Linked DNA regions of Mus musculus. Each later gene encodes a partner of the first gene's protein in a complex. Links are inferred from orthologs where the notes say so. Each region holds a gene or a part of one and is shown in the gene's direction. Other genes may lie near its edges.

Region 1 (5,178 bases):
AAAGCGACCCATACTAAGGAACTGCAGCATTTGCACAAGGGAATCTCTTGTTCCCCACAAGTCCTGGCAGTCTGGCTGACTTGAGGGGCAGACACAACACTGGGTCCCACCCACTCGGAGGGGCTATAATGCCACTCCCTGAGTTTTAGCCCTAGGAGTGGGTCAGATTGACAGACCTGTTCTTAACACTAAGGGGGCTGGCCCTCTGGGAGGGCTGGCCCCAGTACACACGGAAACAACCATCTCCCAAGGGGGGTGATATTTATTGTGGGGATAATGTTTGGAGGGGAGGGAGACTTATTAATAAAAGAATCTTTAACTTTAAGATATGGCCTGATCCCTAACTTGACTCCCCAGAACTGGAGGGAGGGAGCCAGTCGGCCACTGCGGGGGCGGGGGTGAGGCTGTGACTCACACATTCTCAATGCCTGGAGCTCAGCCTGCCAGGACCTGGCTTGCCCTCACCGATTTTCCAGGGAAGATTTTGAGGAGGAAACCCCAGCATCCAGTACCCCACCCTCCCCAAAGGCTGCTGAGAAATCTTCAACTGCTCACAGGTCTTTATTCACTAATGGGGTAACATTTTCCCTTTCCCAGGCTGCCTTTCACTGAGGGTTCCACCGAGCTAGTGTCCTCTTGTCAGAGGGAAGGTCCTGGTGGCCAGGTTTGCAGAAGGACTTCATCCCTTTCTGGGAGTTGCTGGTCTTTGTTGTCAGAAAGAAGATAGGGAGGGACACAGGCCATCAATACTCAGAGCTCCACGATATCCCCAGCTGGGGACGCAGGGTAGTAGGGACTGGGGGTATCCCCCAGCCTCAGCAGCCTGAGGGCTTCAGGAATCAGGCTCCCGGGATAGCGCCAGAGAAGCAGCTCTGGGCAAGGGCTCCTAAAAGAAGAAAAAAAGATTGAAAGAACAGGGCAGAAGGCTGGCTTGGCAGTGCCACCTCCTACCAGGTCCAGGTCGCCTGGAGCCAAAGATGGAAAACAGCACAAGTTGGCTAGAAGCTAAAAATAGCACGATGAGGCAGAGAGTGAGGAGGGGCTCTGAGGACCGAATGTGATCCTCTAGAAGGCCCTCAAGGGGAGGTGCCTACCTGAGTGGTGGCAGGGCTTCGGGAAAAGTCACAGGGGGGCTGCAGTAGGGGTGGTCATTATGTAGGCTGAGTCGGGAGAAATGGGTGGCCATGTTCTCCTCAGACAGGAACTGCTTGTGCAAAGGTTCCCTGGGGGAAAGACTGGAGAAGAATAGAGGCAGGGATGTTGAGAGTGGAGGCAAACTGATGAGGACCAAAGGTGAATCTTGGAAGCCCCATCCGCCCCTACACTTAGAAGTTCCTTCTCCAGGGCTCTCCATGGTCACTGGCACAGCTCCTCTGAGAAGGGAGCTGGGAAGTAGCGCCAGGTGTAGTCCACTCTCTTTGCCCCTTCCCAAAGATCTGTCCACCTGAGTCTACAGGGTAAACCAGGTTCCCAGAATCAGCCTTGTCTTGTGTGGCCTAAGCCACCTTCCTCTCCCAGGCTATACACAGGTTACCTTGGAAATCTTGACCTTGGCTTCCCTGCTTCAACACAAGCTCAAGCACCACGGTTTCCTGAATCGCCTCCCCACTTTCCAGGATCCCCCTACTGACCAGCCCTGGATCCCCCAGCCAAAACTCCTGCCCTCCGCTCGTCCAGCCCACTCAGGGACCAATTACACACCTGGCGTTTAGGCCGCGAGTTACCCCAGTGGTGGCCCGTGGGTCCCGACTTGGGGGACCTCGCTCCAGGGGCTGTTGCAGGATCATTACGGCTCAGGGTCCTGCAGATAGAGGGGTGGGATTCAAGCAGCAGAGGCGGAGCCTTTGAGGGCGTGGTACAGCGCGAGGGGCGGGCCTACCGGCGTGCGCACTGGAGACGTTTTACGCAGGCGCGGAAGACAGGAATCAGGTTAGAGGTTAGAAGGCGGGACAGGTCGGCGCGGTGGGGGAGGGGATCCGGCGTGGCTGGATAGTTCTGGGCGCTTTTTAGCATAAGGGTGCTTCGTGTAGTTCTCCTAGGTTTCTGTGGTTCGAGACAGCACGGACCTGCCGCCTTAGTTGCTGGGCGACAGGCAGTGCTAGGTCTTGGGGCGTAACGAGAAGAGCCACCATCAGGCACGTCCGGAATCGAGAGGTTGTGTCGTGCGTCGAGAGATTGTGTCACACGTAGAGCCCTCTGGGACTTGTAGTTCTCAAGATGGAGCATGCCGCACCGCTCGCGGTGCCTCTGGGTCAGGTGAGTCGAGTGTATGCACAGTGCCTTCTGGGGTTTGTAGTCTTGCTCTGACATCTACCCCTGGAGTGTTCCAGGATACCCAGTGTTCATAGGTGATTTGTGGGACTTGTACCCTGAGCCCACGAAAAGTGATCCGGAACCTTGAGATCTAATAGTGACTGAAGGATTAGATGTTGGTACATTTTCCTGTGCGGGATAATAGAGCCACTTAAAAAAATTTGCGCCGTTGGAGGTGGTGGCACATTTACGATCCTAGCACTGGGAAGGCAGAGGGAGACATATCTCTTGTGAGTTAGAAACCAGCCTGCTACTTAGTGAATTCCATGTCATCCAATGCTATATAGTTAGACCCTGACTCAAAAAAAAAAAAAAAAAGTTCATCGTAATTGTAAATGAGGTGCCCCTCCCCCTTTAAACCCAGGGTCTTGGTCTTCATAAGAATGTGCTCTATTATTTAGTTACAGCTCAGCCCACTGCTTACTGGTGTGAGACAGTCTCGTAAGTCTTGAACTTTGTTATATACTGGAGAATGTCCTTGAACTTCTGTTCTTCCTGCCTTCACCTCCACTGAGTGCTCCAGGCTATTGGGTGTGCTGCAAAGCCCAATATCTACAATGCTGGTGCTCAAACGCTGAGCTTTGAGTAAGAATAGGTTTTTGGGTATGGAGAGAGAGTGGAGGATCTGAGCTGGGTGCCAGCACTCAAGTTCCAAAGCTTGTAATTGCCTGTTAATTCCAGCTACAGGGGAGCCAATCCTCTGGCCCCTGTGGACGTACTTGTATATACTTCCCTCACACACTTATACAAAATACAAATAATTAAAATCAGTAAAGTAAATCTTAAAAAGGAAGAAAAGAGCATGGTCTACCATGAGCAGTTACCCTCAGCCCCAAGAACCACTGTGCTTGCTCGTACACACACACACACACACACACACACACACACACACACACATTTTGAGACAGGGTTTCTCTGTGTGGCCTTGGCTGTCCTGGAACTTGCTCTGTAGACCAGTTTGGCCTCAAATTTACAGAGATCTGCCTGCTTCTGCCTCCCAAGTGCTGGGATTAAAGGCATGTGTCACCATTGCCCATATATGTACATCAAACTGGCCAGGAACTCAGAGATTTACCTAACTGCCTCCTCTCAATTGTCGGAACAGATTAAAGGCATGCCACCACACTTGGCTTACTTATTTCCTTGTAAAGTTTTCTCATTGTTTTATGTATGTAAGTGTTTTGCTTACATGTTGTATGTGTGCTATGGTACCCTTAGAGGCCAGAAAGGGTATCACAGGGGAGTGGAGAAATGGCCCAGCACTTGCTACTCTTCCAAAGAAACCAAGTTCAGCTCCTAGTACCCATATAGGAGTGGGCTTACAGCTGCTTGTAATCCAGTTCCAGGAGGTCCAACACTCGACACTGCACATACACTCGCACACACGCACGCATGTACATGCACACACACACACATGCATGTACACTCATGCACAAGACAGAAGCAAGAAGATCTCTCTGGGACCAGCCTAATCTACATAGTGAGTTCTGGGCCAGAGAGGGTTCCTGGTGAGAACCTTTTTCTGAGGGGTGGGGGTAGAAAGAGAGAGACAGAGAGAAAAGGGGAGGGGAGAGGGGGAGAAAGGAGAGAGAGGTGCAGTAGAGGGAGGGGGCTGGGCCCTCCTGGAACTGAGGTGCAGGTGGTTGTGATCTGCCATGTGGGTGCTTTGGGGATCCTCTGCAAGAGTGGCGCACACTTCCCTGCTGAGCCATCTTCCAGACCTCCTCCCCCGCACCCCCATTTTTTAAAGATTATTTTGAGTCACTTAGATTTTTGAGATAGGGTCTGAGATATTTCAGGCTGGCCTGAGGTTTGTCACGTAGTGGAATGTGTCCTTCTGCTTGTACCTTCAGAGTGCTGGGATCACAGGCTACATGTGTGTGCTTGCTTTATGCAGTGTGCTGTGCTAAGCAAGCACTCTACCAATTCAATTCCATCCTTAGTGTGTACTTGAGACTGTCTCATGTAGCCCAGGCTGCCTTTGAATTCACTGTCTAGCTGGGCATAACCTTGAGTTACCAGTGAGTTTCCCTGCCTCCAACTCTCATGTGCTGGGGTTACATTCTATACAACTCCCTCTGGCTTCAGTGCTCTCAAGATTTGTTAGTTTACCTAATCATGACAGAATTTCTTGTGAGTGCCATCTGTCTGTTCAGCCAATGGGAGGAGGCTTGGTCTTGCTCAAAGTCTTAGGTTTTGTTTTTGGTTTTTTTTTTTTTTTTTGAGACAGGGTTTCTCTGTATAGCCCTGGCTGTCCTGGAACTCACTTTGTAGACCAGGCTGGCCTCGAACTCAGAAATCCTCCTGCCTCTGCCTCCCAAGTGCTGGGATTAAAGGCTTGCGCCACCACCGCCGGCAAGCTGTGGCTCCTCGGTTCTTTTTTCCACTCTCTTCCTGGAGTCACTTTGTATGGGCTGATGCCTCTCATCCTGGCTGAGATGGGCTGAGAAGCCTGGGCGGGGGTGGGGGTGGGGGTGGGGTGGGTAAGCAGAAGTCTGTAGGAGGTGGCCCCAGACTTCTTAGACTCTCTTGATCACCCTTTTCCACAGGCTGAGGTATTTCAGGCCCTGCAGCGACTGCACATGACCATCTTTTCCCAGAGTGTCTCCCCCTGCGGGAAGTTTCTGGCAGCTGGCAACAATTACGGGCAGATTGCCATCTTCAGGTACCCTCAACCCTGATTCCTACCACACAGGAGCCCTGGCACTTGAGCCTCCTTGGCTTTGACTTGGCTCCCTACCTCTCTTTCAGTTTGTCTGCTGCCTTAAGTTCAGAGGCCAAAGAAGAAAGCAAAAAACCGGTGGTGGTCTTCCACGGTGGGTATAGCTGTTGAGAGTGGTTCAGGTGACCTCAGGAGAGAGAAGG
Region 2 (4,091 bases), on another chromosome or scaffold:
TCATTTTGCACTACTTTTATGTTCTATTTTCTCTTTGCATTGGTGTAAAAAATGAGACCCGGAAGTCAGGCTCATACCTGTTATCCCATCTTGTGGCAGCAGAGGCTGCACAGTGAACTGCAGGTCAGCCTGCACTGGCTCTCAGAAAGGATGAGACAGTGTTGTTTTGGAGTGTTTAACAAGGAAATTGTGTTACTTCATGAATCTTTTCCTTTTTCTCTGCCCTGTTACTCTTTTTTGTAACTTGATACTACATGGAAGGAAACTTTCTCAGTTCTTTCTGTCAGTGCCTTACTTAGCTGAAGATCTGCACAGTTCTGGCTTCCTTTACTTTAGACAGCTTTTTTTTCTTCTTTTCATTTTTTTTTCTTTTTTTGCTTCAAAAGTAGTTCTCTTAACAATTATTGACTTAGCCTTTCTGATATACCTGAAAATTTCCTCTCAACAACCCATAGAATGCCAATTGTGAGGGTAGAGTTTTACCTAAGACCTCAGCCCCTAGGACAGGCAGATATACCTTGGACAATCACTTTTCTTTGAAGAGAAAAATAGAAGAAAGATTTTTAATTGTGTCAAGATGCACGTAAAATTTATCATTTTTGTGTTCACCTCAACTGATGGCATTAAATGTATTTATTTTTCAGTAATTTTCTTTTCATTGAGCAAATGAGTAGTTATATACTGTTGTCTTGAGAGTTGCTCAGAACCAAATATTCGTTTTAATTCTCATTCATCTTTTTTCCTCCAGACGAAGTTATACGGAAACGTCTTCTGATTGATGGAGATGGTGCTGGGGATGATCGGAGAATTAATCTCCTCGTGAAAAGCTTCATTAAATGGTGCAACTCTGGATCCCAAGAGGAAGGGTACTTTATTCCACTGACGCTTCTGTATCAGTATCCTGGTGGAACTTTATTAAGGCCATGTTAAATAGTTCAATTTACCTTATCTGTCCAGTGCGGCCACCTCTAGACTGATCAGAAGTTTGGTTTATTTATTTGTTTGTTTTTGTTTTTTTTTTTTTTGTTTTTTCTGTTCTTCTATTTGGAGGTCTCCTTTATGTTTGTATAATATGCAGATAGGACATTAGTAAAAGAAGAAATGAAGGCTTAATAATTTGATTACTTTTAGCAAAGGAAGGTTTTTTCTTTGTTAAGTTAAATTTAAGTTGCTGCAAAATAATTATATACTAATAATTACATACTGTATTAGTTAGGGTTTTACTGCTGTGCACAGACACCATGACCAAGGCAAGTCTTATAAAAACAACATTTAATTGGGGCTGGCTTACAGGTTCAGAGGTTCAGATCATTATCATCAAGGTGGGAGCATGGCAGCATCCAGGCAGGCATGGTGCAGGAGGAGCTGAGAGTTCTATGTCTTCATCCAAAGGCTGCTAGTGGAAGACTGACTTCCAGGCAACTAGCATGAGAATATTAAGCCCACACCCACAGTGACACACCTATTCCAACCAGGCCACACCTCCAGATGGTGCCACTCCCTGGTCAGAGAATATACAAACCATCACACATTCTAATAATTACATACTAATTTTATACTAATTTTGCTGGATTTACTTTCTGCTTAAGTATGAAAATGATGAGAACAGAATTCTGAAGAAACTCTTAGTCAAAATATAGTTGGGGTTTAATATAGTTGGATTTAAGATGCAGACGAATGCTTAGATGAGATGAGCACAGTAGTCTCATTTTGCCTTTGTAACCAGAACAACTTATAAATTCACTTACAGCATTCTAGCAAAGAAAATAGTAAGAGTAGATGTTCTAAGCTGTTCTAAGTTAAGCAATTTTGTCAGAACTTGGTTTAGTGTACAATTCCTTTTGATTCCCTTTTTCTTTTTCATAGGTATAGCCAGTACCAACGCATGCTGAGCACTCTGTCCCAGTGTGAATTTTCAATGGGCAAAACATTGCTGGTATATGATATGAATCTCAGAGAAATGGAAAATTATGAAAAAATATACAAAGAAATAGGTAAACATAGTAATTCTTTCTGGAATTGTATTTTTGTGGTTTAAAGCTATCTGATAACAATATGTGGATTAAAGTAAAATATCAGTAATTAAGAGTCAGCTGTCAGCAGCCACAGTGTTGAATAATAACATGCAGCACTTCGTGTTGTAGATATTTTTAGAATGCCATTGTCTATTGTGTTATCAGTGGAATGTCTATTTAAAAGCACAGATTATATATGTTATTATAACTATCTTTTTTAAAAATAGAATGTAGTATTGCTGGAGCACATGAAAAAATTGCTGAGTGTAAAAAGCAGATTCTTCAAGCAAAACGAATACGAAAAAATCGACAAGGTAAGAATTTGAAGGATTTAGGTTGCAGATATTTTATTCCTGATTTCAAGTTACATAAAGTTTTTAATATTGAAAAGTAAATTCTGCAACATGAATCAGTTTACAGAAAATACAATTACACTTATACTTAGATCTCTGTTACTTAACATAGAGAAGGCAAGGTGTGATGAAAAAGATTTTATTCTGATGAGTTTTATTGTTTATCCAAGAATATTTCAGTATTTTTTACTATCTATAGATTTTTTTCCTAAGCAGTGTTACAGTTAATCTCCAAATGTGAACAATATGACAGACTGAGGTGTTTATTTGCTAGTTTAATGAAACTACTTTCAGAAAAAGAAAATGGAAAAGAAATTTAACTTTTTATTATTCACAAAGCAAACAAATGTTATCTACAGAATTACCTAATAAAAGTTAAAGTGAAGAGACAGCAAGTTGGCCCAGTGGGCAAGAACACTTGCCACCAAGCGTGACGCCCTGAGCTTAAGCCCTAAGACCCACGTGGTAGAAGAAGAGAAGTGAGTCCCTCACTGTGCCATAGCCCTCCAACACACAGATATATAAAATAAAATAAACATATGTAATTTTAATGTCATACATGTGTCTCTGTACAGCGGAGAGCAGGTGCCCATGGAGGCCATCTCATCCCTGGATTTGAGGCAGTTGTGAACTACACATGAGTGCTGAAAACTAAATTGGGTTCTGTAACACATTAGTATATCCTCTTAACTACTGAGCCATCTCTCTAGCCCTGGATTTTTTTTTTTTTTTTTGGTTTTCTGAGACAGGGTTTCTCTGTAGCCCTGGCTGTCCTGGAATCACTCTGTAGACCAGGCTGGCCTCGAACTCAAAAATCCACCTGCCTCTGCCTCCCAAGTGCTGGGATTAAAGGCATGCGCCACCACTGCCAAGTGGAAATTAATAGTAGGAATATTGCGCCTATTACATGAATTGGGCAAAGATAAAGAGCAGTGTTTGAAGTGTTTGTTATGGCACATCCTTGAACTGCCATCACTTGGCTAAGGCATGCAGGTTACAGATTCTAGGTCAGCCTGGGTTCGGTGGAAACCTACCTCTCATCAATCAATCAATCAGTGAGTATCATAATTGGGTCTAGTAGAAACTTAGCTCTAAATTAAATAGGTAGACAGATGAAAGAGAAAGGAAGACAGACAAACAGACAGAATAACCATGACAGTATTGTGAAAAACTAAACAGAAATAGAAAATGCTGTTATTTGATAAATGTGAGGTTTTATAGCTTAGATTCATAGAATCTAAGATTTATGAAACTGGTCCAGAAAGATGTATTTTCTTCGTTTGTTTTGACGAGGGTGTGAGGAAGTTAAGAACTTTTGAATCAGTCATTTGATGGTGATCCTAAGTCTTGTGTGCACTGCTGCCCACTTCTCATTCTGTCACATGACTGGAACACCGGAAGTGAGAGTGAGGACCCCTGCTTGGGACATGAGGTCATTATGACATACTTATGACTGAATTGAGGGATTTGCTTTGCTTTGGTTTGTTTTCTTGCTTTTGCTTTGTTTTTTGGTCTTTTTCAAGACAGGATGTTTCTGTGTAATTTTTCCTGGCTGTCCTAAAACTTGCTATTTATTTAGATCAGGCTAGCCTGGAGCGAACAGATCCAGTGGCCTCTGCCTCACAAGTGCTGGGATCAAAGGCATGTGCAAAGACCACATTATTCTCATTTCCTTAAGAAAGTGAATAAGAGTTATTTTCATTTACACATTTCTTTTTGATAA
Region 3 (4,091 bases), on another chromosome or scaffold:
CCATTTCACTTTCTTCCCATTCTGCTTTTTAGTTTGTTTTGTTTTGAAATCTTTCATCAGCTGTGTGTTTACTTCTATTAAACTTAATCATAACAGGAATGATAGAATAATGTCCTCTTAGGCTCTTAAGCGACTTAACTAATTTAACTTTCTCAGAAGTCCTGAGTCAGAAAGAGTGGTTATTTGTATTTAAAGGCAGTTTTTGTTTCTGAGAATTTCATTTATTTGGTGTCTTTCACCATTTTATTATGTTGTTGCTAGAACTCCCAAGGCATTTAATTTAGTGCCTGTGTTTGCTTCAGAAGCACATGTGCTTCTCTGTTCATCTTTTAAGATGTGATACATTAATTTCCTGTATTCATGTGTTACTAAGTAACATGTTAGAATGTAATAAACTCCCATAACTCATGAGTCTGTTATTTCAGTGGACTTTGAAGGTGCTCTGATCCTTCCTCCTGTTTGTCCTTTGAATGAACTTTCACTCTCCAAAAGTGTCGGCATTTCTGTTTGTCTTTGTAACTGCATCTCTGTTTCTTGTCATCATATTTGCTTACTGCGTGTATTTCATGCTTTCCACTTCTCTTAAGAGCTGTTACCTGAGCCCTTGTTATCGCTTCTAATTGTGCTGCCCTTGGCTGCATTTCTGAGTTTCTGGTTCTTGCAAGTTTGTGGAAACAGAGGAGTCTTTAACCCACATCAGCCTTGATCCAAATGTGCCACTTTAAAGTTCGTGGGATCTGGAGCTCCTGGTCTAGCAAGCCATGAGAATGCCAATAAGTGTTTTATAATAAAGCTTTATTTAAACACCCGTTTTGTTCGACCTTGAAGCTTTACTAATATGCTGAAGAACAAACAGCCGATGCCAGTGAATATTCGGGCTTCGATGCAGCAGCAGCAGCAGCTAGCCAGTGCCAGAAACAGAAGACTGGCCCAGCAGATGGAGAATAGACCCTCTGTCCAGGCAGCATTAAAACTTAAGCAGGTGAGAGAATGAGTCCTGCCATCTGCGTCAGCCCACCAAGGCTGTCAGGGTATAATGGATGAGTACAAGATGGCTCAGGGCAAAAGCTGAAACTGATGTTCAAAGAATTTCAGTTTGGACAGGTACCAACTAAATAAATAACTTAATAACTTTCTCTTTTAGGGAGTTTGACACCTCTGTAGCCTGCGTTATCAATGAAGATTAATTGATTAGTATTTTCTGGCTCTTGCTCTTAAGAATAATTTCATTTATTCATTCATTTATTTTCATCTTTTTATCTCTTTTGTTTGGTCTAACAGTGTTGTTCAATGGTAGAGCACTTGCCTAGCAAGCACAAGGTCCCAGGTTCACTTCTTAACACTTAACCAAAAAACAAGAAAGAAGTTCTGTTGTAGTTAGCTTTGCTGTGTGTACAAATGATTTACAAACTAGTTTAATCTTATTCTTCTGAATAAGATTCTAATTGGCCTTAGTCTGAGGTTTTCAGTACTATAAAAACAGCACCTAGGTTCATTAGCATAGCAGAACAAGCATATAGGATAATCAAGTGTCAGTTCTCTTTCACATTTCCAAAATAAGAAGTAATCCTGATCAGGCCTGAAATAAAACCTGCTCTTTATCATTTGTAGACTTTATATGCAAGTCCGGAAAGTGGCTGTGGAAGGATATGTCCAAGCTGTGGCTGGGCGTCCAGAGGGCGGTGCCATGCAACTGTAAGGATTTTAACTGGTAGCACTGCATGGCTGTGCATAGAGTCAGCACTTATAACACCCACCCCCTACTCCGAACTGTTGGGCTCACTGACCGAAAATAAGCAAGGCTTTCTGCTTTTTTCCCTTTCAGCCTTGAAGTAGTTAAGGGTTTGGTTTGGTTTGGTTTTTTTCCTGACTCAGGAGAACAACAAGCCGTAGGCCCACATTTTCCAAGAATAAATAAGAGTCATAAAGTCTCCAATTACACTGTGACAGAGGCCCTTTCAATAGGCTAACTTGTAAACCAGTGATATCCACCAGCTTCTGTTTTGGTGGGATGCTCTCAATTTTTTTCAGTAGTCATTTGTCCTGTCAGAAGGACATCCAAGTGTGGCTAGTGCAGTTGAGGATCTAAATTTTGTTTTGAATTTTGTTTTTTTTTGTTAGGTTTTCCCTTATGTTAAAGCCAAACAAAGGACATACAGTTGTAATCTCAGCAAATAGGGGCATTATGAGCTCAAGACCAACACAAATTTTGTTTAGTTTTTTGTTATTATTGTTTAGTGGTTTTGAGACTTATGTAACTACAATTGGCCTAGAACTCTAAATGCAGACCACAGTGTCTTCAAACTCAGAAATAGACCTGCTTTTGTCTCCAGGGTACTGGGAGAAAAGGTCAGAGCTACTCTACCAGAACCAAAAACTTTTTTTTAAGTAGCCATATATAATTAGTGGTTACATTGTTATACAACACAGCTCTAGAGTAAAAACTGAGTCATACTGTCAGTATGTATAAGTGTCAGTATGTATAAGTGTCAGGATGAAGATGAACTCTACAGTACTATACAGTTCTTCCCTAAAGCAAAGGACTCAGGAAAATGAGTATAGTCAGTAATTGAGCATGAGAATGCAGTTTGACTTCATAATTGTGTGCTGGGGTCTGGAGGCACGGTTCAGTGGTAAAGTATTTATCTACCATGGGCATGAGTTCATGCCCAGCACCACAAAAAAATAATTATTGTGCTAATTGGGAGTAATAAAACAGGCCTTTAGGCTTGGTTGTATCTACCTGTATTAGATGTCTAATGTTAAGATCCTTTCTCCTCAAATTGGAAGCAGTTTAAAAGTTTTGTGCTGGAAAATTGATAATGCCACAACATCCTTTTCAGAGCTCTTAATTGAAGGAAATATATATGCAGAGATGTATGTGCCATTAGAATGTGCTGGAAGTTGATTGTGTGCAAGAGCAGAATTACTGGGGCCTTGATTGTATTTGAGGCTGTATTGTCTCCTCTTCTGAAGAAATCGAATTCTCTGAAATGTCATCTTCAGAATCTTTTGGAGAAACTATTGAAAATTGTTATCTTTAGTGTGTCTTTGTTCTTTGTGTGGTGGCCCTTTGTGGCTAACAGTTTGCTTTCATTTTAACATGAATTTGGCTGGCTTTCTATGAAGATAAAATTGAATTGTATGTTTAAGAAGACCATTGTACTGGCTTAAGGAAACTGTTGGCAAGGGGAGATGTGGAATTTACAGAATTTTTAAAAAGTGTAAGGAAAGGAATGTTGACATTTTTGTGTTTATTTGCATCTTAAGGTTTTAAAAAAGGACCGTCTGGAGATAGATACTCAAAGGAAAACCTCAACACACTGGCCTCTTTAACTGAGAAGTCAATCTTGTCCTTTGAGTCTCAAGAATTCAAGTGAACTTGTAATTTAAGTTTACCCAGAATGTGACGCACTTCCTATGGTGTGTGAGTAAGCCTTTGCAAACAGTGTAGTCCATAGGCAGATATGGGTAAAGTCACATCATTGTTAACCTATGGCTCAGAAGCAGCGAGTTTGCAGCTACTGCTGTATTATTTGAATAGCCAAATTAGTAAGGTTATCTGTGCTGGCTCTGCTGTTGTAGACGATATTAAAGCTTCTTAGAGCCTTTATTCTGGCTCAGGATTCTGCTTTTATCCATGTTCTGAGGAAAAGTCTTTGATTTGGGATCCTTACGTTACCCACAACAGGTTTATACCTTCCACCCCGAGTGTCTGACTTGCCTCTTTTTGTCCTGTACTTTAAATTGCCAAATCCCATGGAATTGCTTTGTTGATCTCAATCCTCTTAACACCTTTTCTTTCAGAAGAGCTTAAAGCAGCGCCTGGGTAAGAGTAATATCCAGGCACGGTTAGGCCGACCCATAGGTGCCCTGGCCAGGGGAGCAATTGGAGGAAGAGGCCTACCCATAATCCAGAGAGGCTTGCCCCGAGGAGGACTACGTGGGGGACGTGCTACCAGAACCCTGCTTAGGGGTGGGATGTCGCTCCGAGGTCAGTGTGTCTGTGTAGCTAATAATGGTTGGGCTCTATCCTCCTCCCCTTTTTCTTGGACTGCTTACCGACACATTTGTTTAGCATTTTTAATCCT
Region 4 (4,091 bases), on another chromosome or scaffold:
GTCTCTGCCTCTCAAATATAGGACTTAAATGTGAGTGCTACCATGTCTGGCAGTGCCCATTCTTTTAATCCCAACACTTAGGAAGCAGAGGCAAGTAGAGTTCAAGGCCATCTGTTCTATATAGGAATTTACAGGCCTGCCAGGGTTATAAGGTGACACCCAGCATTAAAAAGATAAAAAAGGTAGGGGATTGTATAGTAGTGCACACCTGTAATCTCAGCATTAGAGAAGTGGAGGAAGGAGAGTTAGGAGTTTGAAGATAGCTTTGGCTGAATGAAAGGGGCCATGTTTCAGACAACAGCAATAAAAAAAAATGGAGAGTTAGCAAACAGTCTGAATATTCCAAGGCTGATTAGAATCCCTTGTATATCCAAAAGGAAATCTCTTTACATCATCTTACGCCTGAAGTTATGTGTAAATATACTTCTCTATCTTGTTTTAAGTTTTTTTTTCTCCTGAGCCAAAACAAATATTGTAGGACTTCCTTATGGTCAGCAGGGGGCATTCTTTGCTTGCCTGTTAGTCTAAGGACTTCCAACAAAAAGATGGAGGAGAATCAGGTTCCAGAATTGCTTCCTCTGAAAATGTCATTAAACCATTACTACCTTTCAGGGCATCAAATGGGAAAAGTGTTTGGGATATTGGAACAAAAGCTGCCCATGTCTCTAAATAAGGGACCTTAATGAGACTGGTTATGACCCGCAGTTTTATGGGAGTTGTTTGTTGGAGAGTTAATGCCCTTCCATTTATCCTGGGGACTTCCGAACTTTGTCTCCTGCCCCTGCGGTCCCCCTCTTTTGTTTTCTCTTAAGCCTTTTGACCAGTAACTCGCCATGTTTTCCTAATTCAGCCTTTCTTCTCCCACCCACTTCCTGTGGCATTTTTATTTGTTCTGCTTTGACGGTTTCAGCTAGAGCTACAATCCCACGGGAGCAATAGGGACTTATAAAAGAAGGAAATCAGGGCTGGTTCAGCGCTAGTTAAATATTGTGATAAAAATTGAGTTTGTATATAATTGGAGGTTGGAGATACAGTTCTTAGTTCAAAAGTAACTATAAAGTGTCTAAAAGCAAATGAAATGACTTATGTGTGTGTCCCTTCATCCCTGTATTTTTAGCCTGACTTCTTTGCTGATTATGGTCTCGAACTTCAGTTAAAATAACTTAGTTTTATTTTAATTTTTCTTCTCAGTTGATGACAGTTCAAGGAGTCAGACTTGTTATGGACTTCATGTTTCTTTGGATTAAGGGGTGGTAGACACATGTGGGGCAGAGGATATAACTCAGGTGATTCTTGCACATTTCTAATGCTTTGGGTTAAGATAGCAGTTTTCTGACTTTTAAAAATCTGTCTTCTTAGGGCATCGGAAAAGAAGGTGGTAAAGATTACATCTGGGATACCTCAGACTGAAGTAAGTATTCTTTTTTAAATTTTAATTGAGGTGTGGGTGGGGCTGTGAATGCATAAATGCCATGGTATATGTGTGGATAGAGGACTGCCTTCACTTTGTTGAGGTAGAGGTCTCTCCTTTAAAAACATTTTTTAAAATTACATTTTATTTATATATGGGGGAGCCGTGTTTGTGTGCGAGTGCGCTTGTGTAGGTCAGAGGACAACTTGGGGGAATTGGTTTTTCTTCTAGCATGTGCGTTGCAGAGATAAAACTTAGGTTGTCTGGCTTGGCATTAAAGAACATTACTCACTGAACTATCTTGCTGAACTTAGTCAGGACTCTTGTTTCCAGTGCTGTGATGTGTACACCAGGCTAGCTGGCCCATGAGCTTCCAGAAGATGACAACCTCCCATCTTGCCACAGGAAAACTTGGTTTATAGCTGTATACTAGCACATTCTGCCTTTACATGGGCTCCTGTTATCAGACTTGCACAGCCTGCACTTTCAACTACTGAGTTCTCATTTTTATATTTATTTTTTGTTCCTTAGAATAGCAATTTACTTTGTAGCTCAGGTTGGCCCCAAACAAAATCTTTGTACTTCAGCATCTCGGGTGTTAGGATTCTAGGTATGTGCCACCATGCCTGGCTGTTCCTGTTTTTAACCTTTTCTCTGTCATCATCATTATGTAAAATTTTCATTTAGGGCTGTTAAGTTGGCACTCTGGGTAAAGATCTCTGTGGCTAAAGCCTGAGTTTGATCCATGTAAATAATTTATTCATAGACAAATTATTTAAGGGAATTAGGGGAATATTGACAATTGATGTTTCTTTCTCCACCAACTCAGGAAAATATTTGGACTGGCATAGTGAGTTGTTATCTTTAAGCTGTCATAGATTACATATACCACTGTAGCCTTAATAGTAACTTAATAAGTCTATAGGTATAGGATTAGAGTTTGAGAGGATTGTGTGTACTTTGGAAAAATAGCAATGGCAGATACTCCTTTAAGTTGTTAGTTGTTAGCTGGTGAGAGTGAAATTTCTTTGGATTCTATCTCAAGATGTTTGAAATCAGGTTTCATTTGAGATCTTGTGTTCAGTTTTGTACTTTCAAGGTAGAGGGGTTGTTGTTGTTTTTATACAGGGTTTCTCTGTGTAGCTCTGGCTGTTCTGGAACTCACTGTGTAGACCAGGCTGGCCTCGAACTCAGAGATCCACCAGCTTCTGCTTTTTGAATGCTGGGAGTGTACCTCTATGCCTGGCTTATAGTTGAGATTTATTCACTTCTTTTAGAATTCAGGCAGGAAGTGATGGTGGTGGTGGTGGTGGTGGTGGTGTTTTTAGATTACCTGTACTGGAACCAATATGCTCCTTTGATATACTATCCCCCCCCAAGATACACTTTTTCAAACAAGATAGAACTTTTGGGGTTTGTGTAGAATATGGATTTTATTCTTTTTGTTTTTGAGAATGTGAATACGGGGAGAGAGAGAGATTAATTGATTGATTGCTTTCTAGAAACAATTGTTGTGTTAAGCCTTAGAATGGCTGCTACCTGATATGGTCTAAAGTTGTCAGTATTTCCGTTAGATCTTAAGAAATGACCATAACCAATTTTTTTTTTAAACAAGAAATTACAGTTTTAATTTTTTCATTTAATATCACTTAGAGAATGCAGAAGAGGGCTGAACGATTCAATGTACCTGTAAGCCTGGAGAGTAAGAAGGCTGCCCGGGCGGCTAGGTGAGTGCTTCTACCTGTTTGGATACAAGATAGAAATGTTATGGTGGTGTAGGGGGTCAGATCTTTGTTTCTTGTTATAGTTGTTGGTTTTCAGTAGAAGTGTTTTCATTGAACTTAATGAATACAGTTTGGGTCATACTCAGGACATTTCTGCTGATTTGGATGTTATAGCTTTCACTGAGTTTTGCCATCTTTGGTCAGGGTTTTTATGATAGGTAAAAGTCAGGAACTGGCAGCTGCTCCTGAGTCTGAAGAGTTCGTTTAGTGGACTCCTGGACTGTTGGTGAGAAGGAGAGTAAACTGAACCTCTTTCATGGGGTTGTTAGAATTAGCTAATGATTGCAAAGTTTGAGATCACAAGAAAGAAGTGTCATGCACCCTTGACACGGACACAGACAACTAAGGGTGTGAACAGCTTCCTAAAATTTAGCTTGTTTTTTCTTCTTACAGGTTTGGAATTTCTTCAGTTCCAACAAAAGGTGAGAATACAGAGGTTCTTCTGAGAAAGTTTACTTTGGGTTTTTTTCTGACTATAGATTTCATTCCTCCAAATTAGATAACTTTGTTGGCTCTAGAAGCCCTTAAGAGGCTCTGCATTTGTACCCTTCAGACCTCATGAATAATCGAGAGAACGTCCTGAAGTTATGGGGAGGAGATCGCACCATTGGGTTTCTTTTTTAGGACTTCTGAGAAATCTTTAGTACCTTGTTCATTTATTTTTGTGTCTTACTAGCATAAAACTATGTGTACTTTTTTAGTGCTCTGAGCTAACATAGTATTAAAGTGAAGGAGACTGTATTTAACTTCACAATTTTGTTTTTAAGAATTTATCAAGAAGTAACCTCTGATATACTTAAAGACTTAGCCATGAGGCTTGTGTTACCACCATATATATTGATCAGTAAATTGGAAAAAAAAACATGTATCCAATACAGTATTAACTGGTTAAGTGT

Evidence for each region.
Region 2: the proteins of Thoc6 (region 1) and Thoc7 are in contact, whole or in part, in a cryo-EM structure (PDB 7APK), measured with the Homo sapiens proteins. The link is inferred for Mus musculus from reciprocal best matches to the Homo sapiens genes THOC6 and THOC7. Residues at the interface, in NP_001334633.1 of Homo sapiens: Asp229, Trp232, His245, Thr252, Gln268, Asp269, Gln284, Leu285, Ser286; in NP_079351.2 of Homo sapiens: Lys110, Arg113, Lys114, Gln117, Glu118, Ala121, Leu122, Val125.
Region 3: Thoc6 (region 1) and Chtop share a complex: the UniProt entries of both Homo sapiens proteins name them as parts of the transcription/export (TREX) complex. The link is inferred for Mus musculus from reciprocal best matches to the Homo sapiens genes THOC6 and CHTOP.
Region 4: Thoc6 (region 1) and Sarnp share a complex: the UniProt entries of both Homo sapiens proteins name them as parts of the transcription/export (TREX) complex. The link is inferred for Mus musculus from reciprocal best matches to the Homo sapiens genes THOC6 and SARNP.

Annotation. Positions count from the first base shown.
Region 1 is NC_000083.6:23,670,592-23,675,769, reverse strand, and holds the start of Thoc6 (THO complex subunit 6 homolog), read left to right. Parts: upstream 1-1,892; 5' UTR 1,893-2,217; coding exon 2,218-2,256; intron 2,257-4,862; coding exon 4,863-4,978; intron 4,979-5,064; coding exon 5,065-5,129; intron 5,130-5,178. Other genes in the region: Hcfc1r1 (host cell factor C1 regulator 1), read right to left, coding at 751-886, 1,095-1,235, 1,702-1,787. UniProt on the Homo sapiens protein: Component of the THO subcomplex of the TREX complex which is thought to couple mRNA transcription, processing and nuclear export, and which specifically associates with spliced mRNA and not with unspliced pre-mRNA.
Region 2 is NC_000080.6:13,951,314-13,955,404, reverse strand, and holds part of Thoc7 (THO complex subunit 7 homolog), read left to right. Parts: intron 1-748; coding exon 749-866; intron 867-1,866; coding exon 1,867-1,994; intron 1,995-2,242; coding exon 2,243-2,329; intron 2,330-4,091. UniProt on the Homo sapiens protein: Component of the THO subcomplex of the TREX complex which is thought to couple mRNA transcription, processing and nuclear export, and which specifically associates with spliced mRNA and not with unspliced pre-mRNA.
Region 3 is NC_000069.6:90,502,999-90,507,089, reverse strand, and holds part of Chtop (chromatin target of PRMT1 protein), read left to right. Parts: exon of another isoform or gene 1-828; coding exon 829-982; intron 983-3,807; coding exon 3,808-3,994; intron 3,995-4,091. UniProt on the Homo sapiens protein: Plays an important role in the ligand-dependent activation of estrogen receptor target genes. May play a role in the silencing of fetal globin genes.
Region 4 is NC_000076.6:128,845,173-128,849,263, forward strand, and holds part of Sarnp (SAP domain-containing ribonucleoprotein), read left to right. Parts: intron 1-1,359; coding exon 1,360-1,411; intron 1,412-3,064; coding exon 3,065-3,138; intron 3,139-3,588; coding exon 3,589-3,617; intron 3,618-4,091. UniProt on the Homo sapiens protein: Binds both single-stranded and double-stranded DNA with higher affinity for the single-stranded form. Specifically binds to scaffold/matrix attachment region DNA. Also binds single-stranded RNA. Enhances RNA unwinding activity of DDX39A.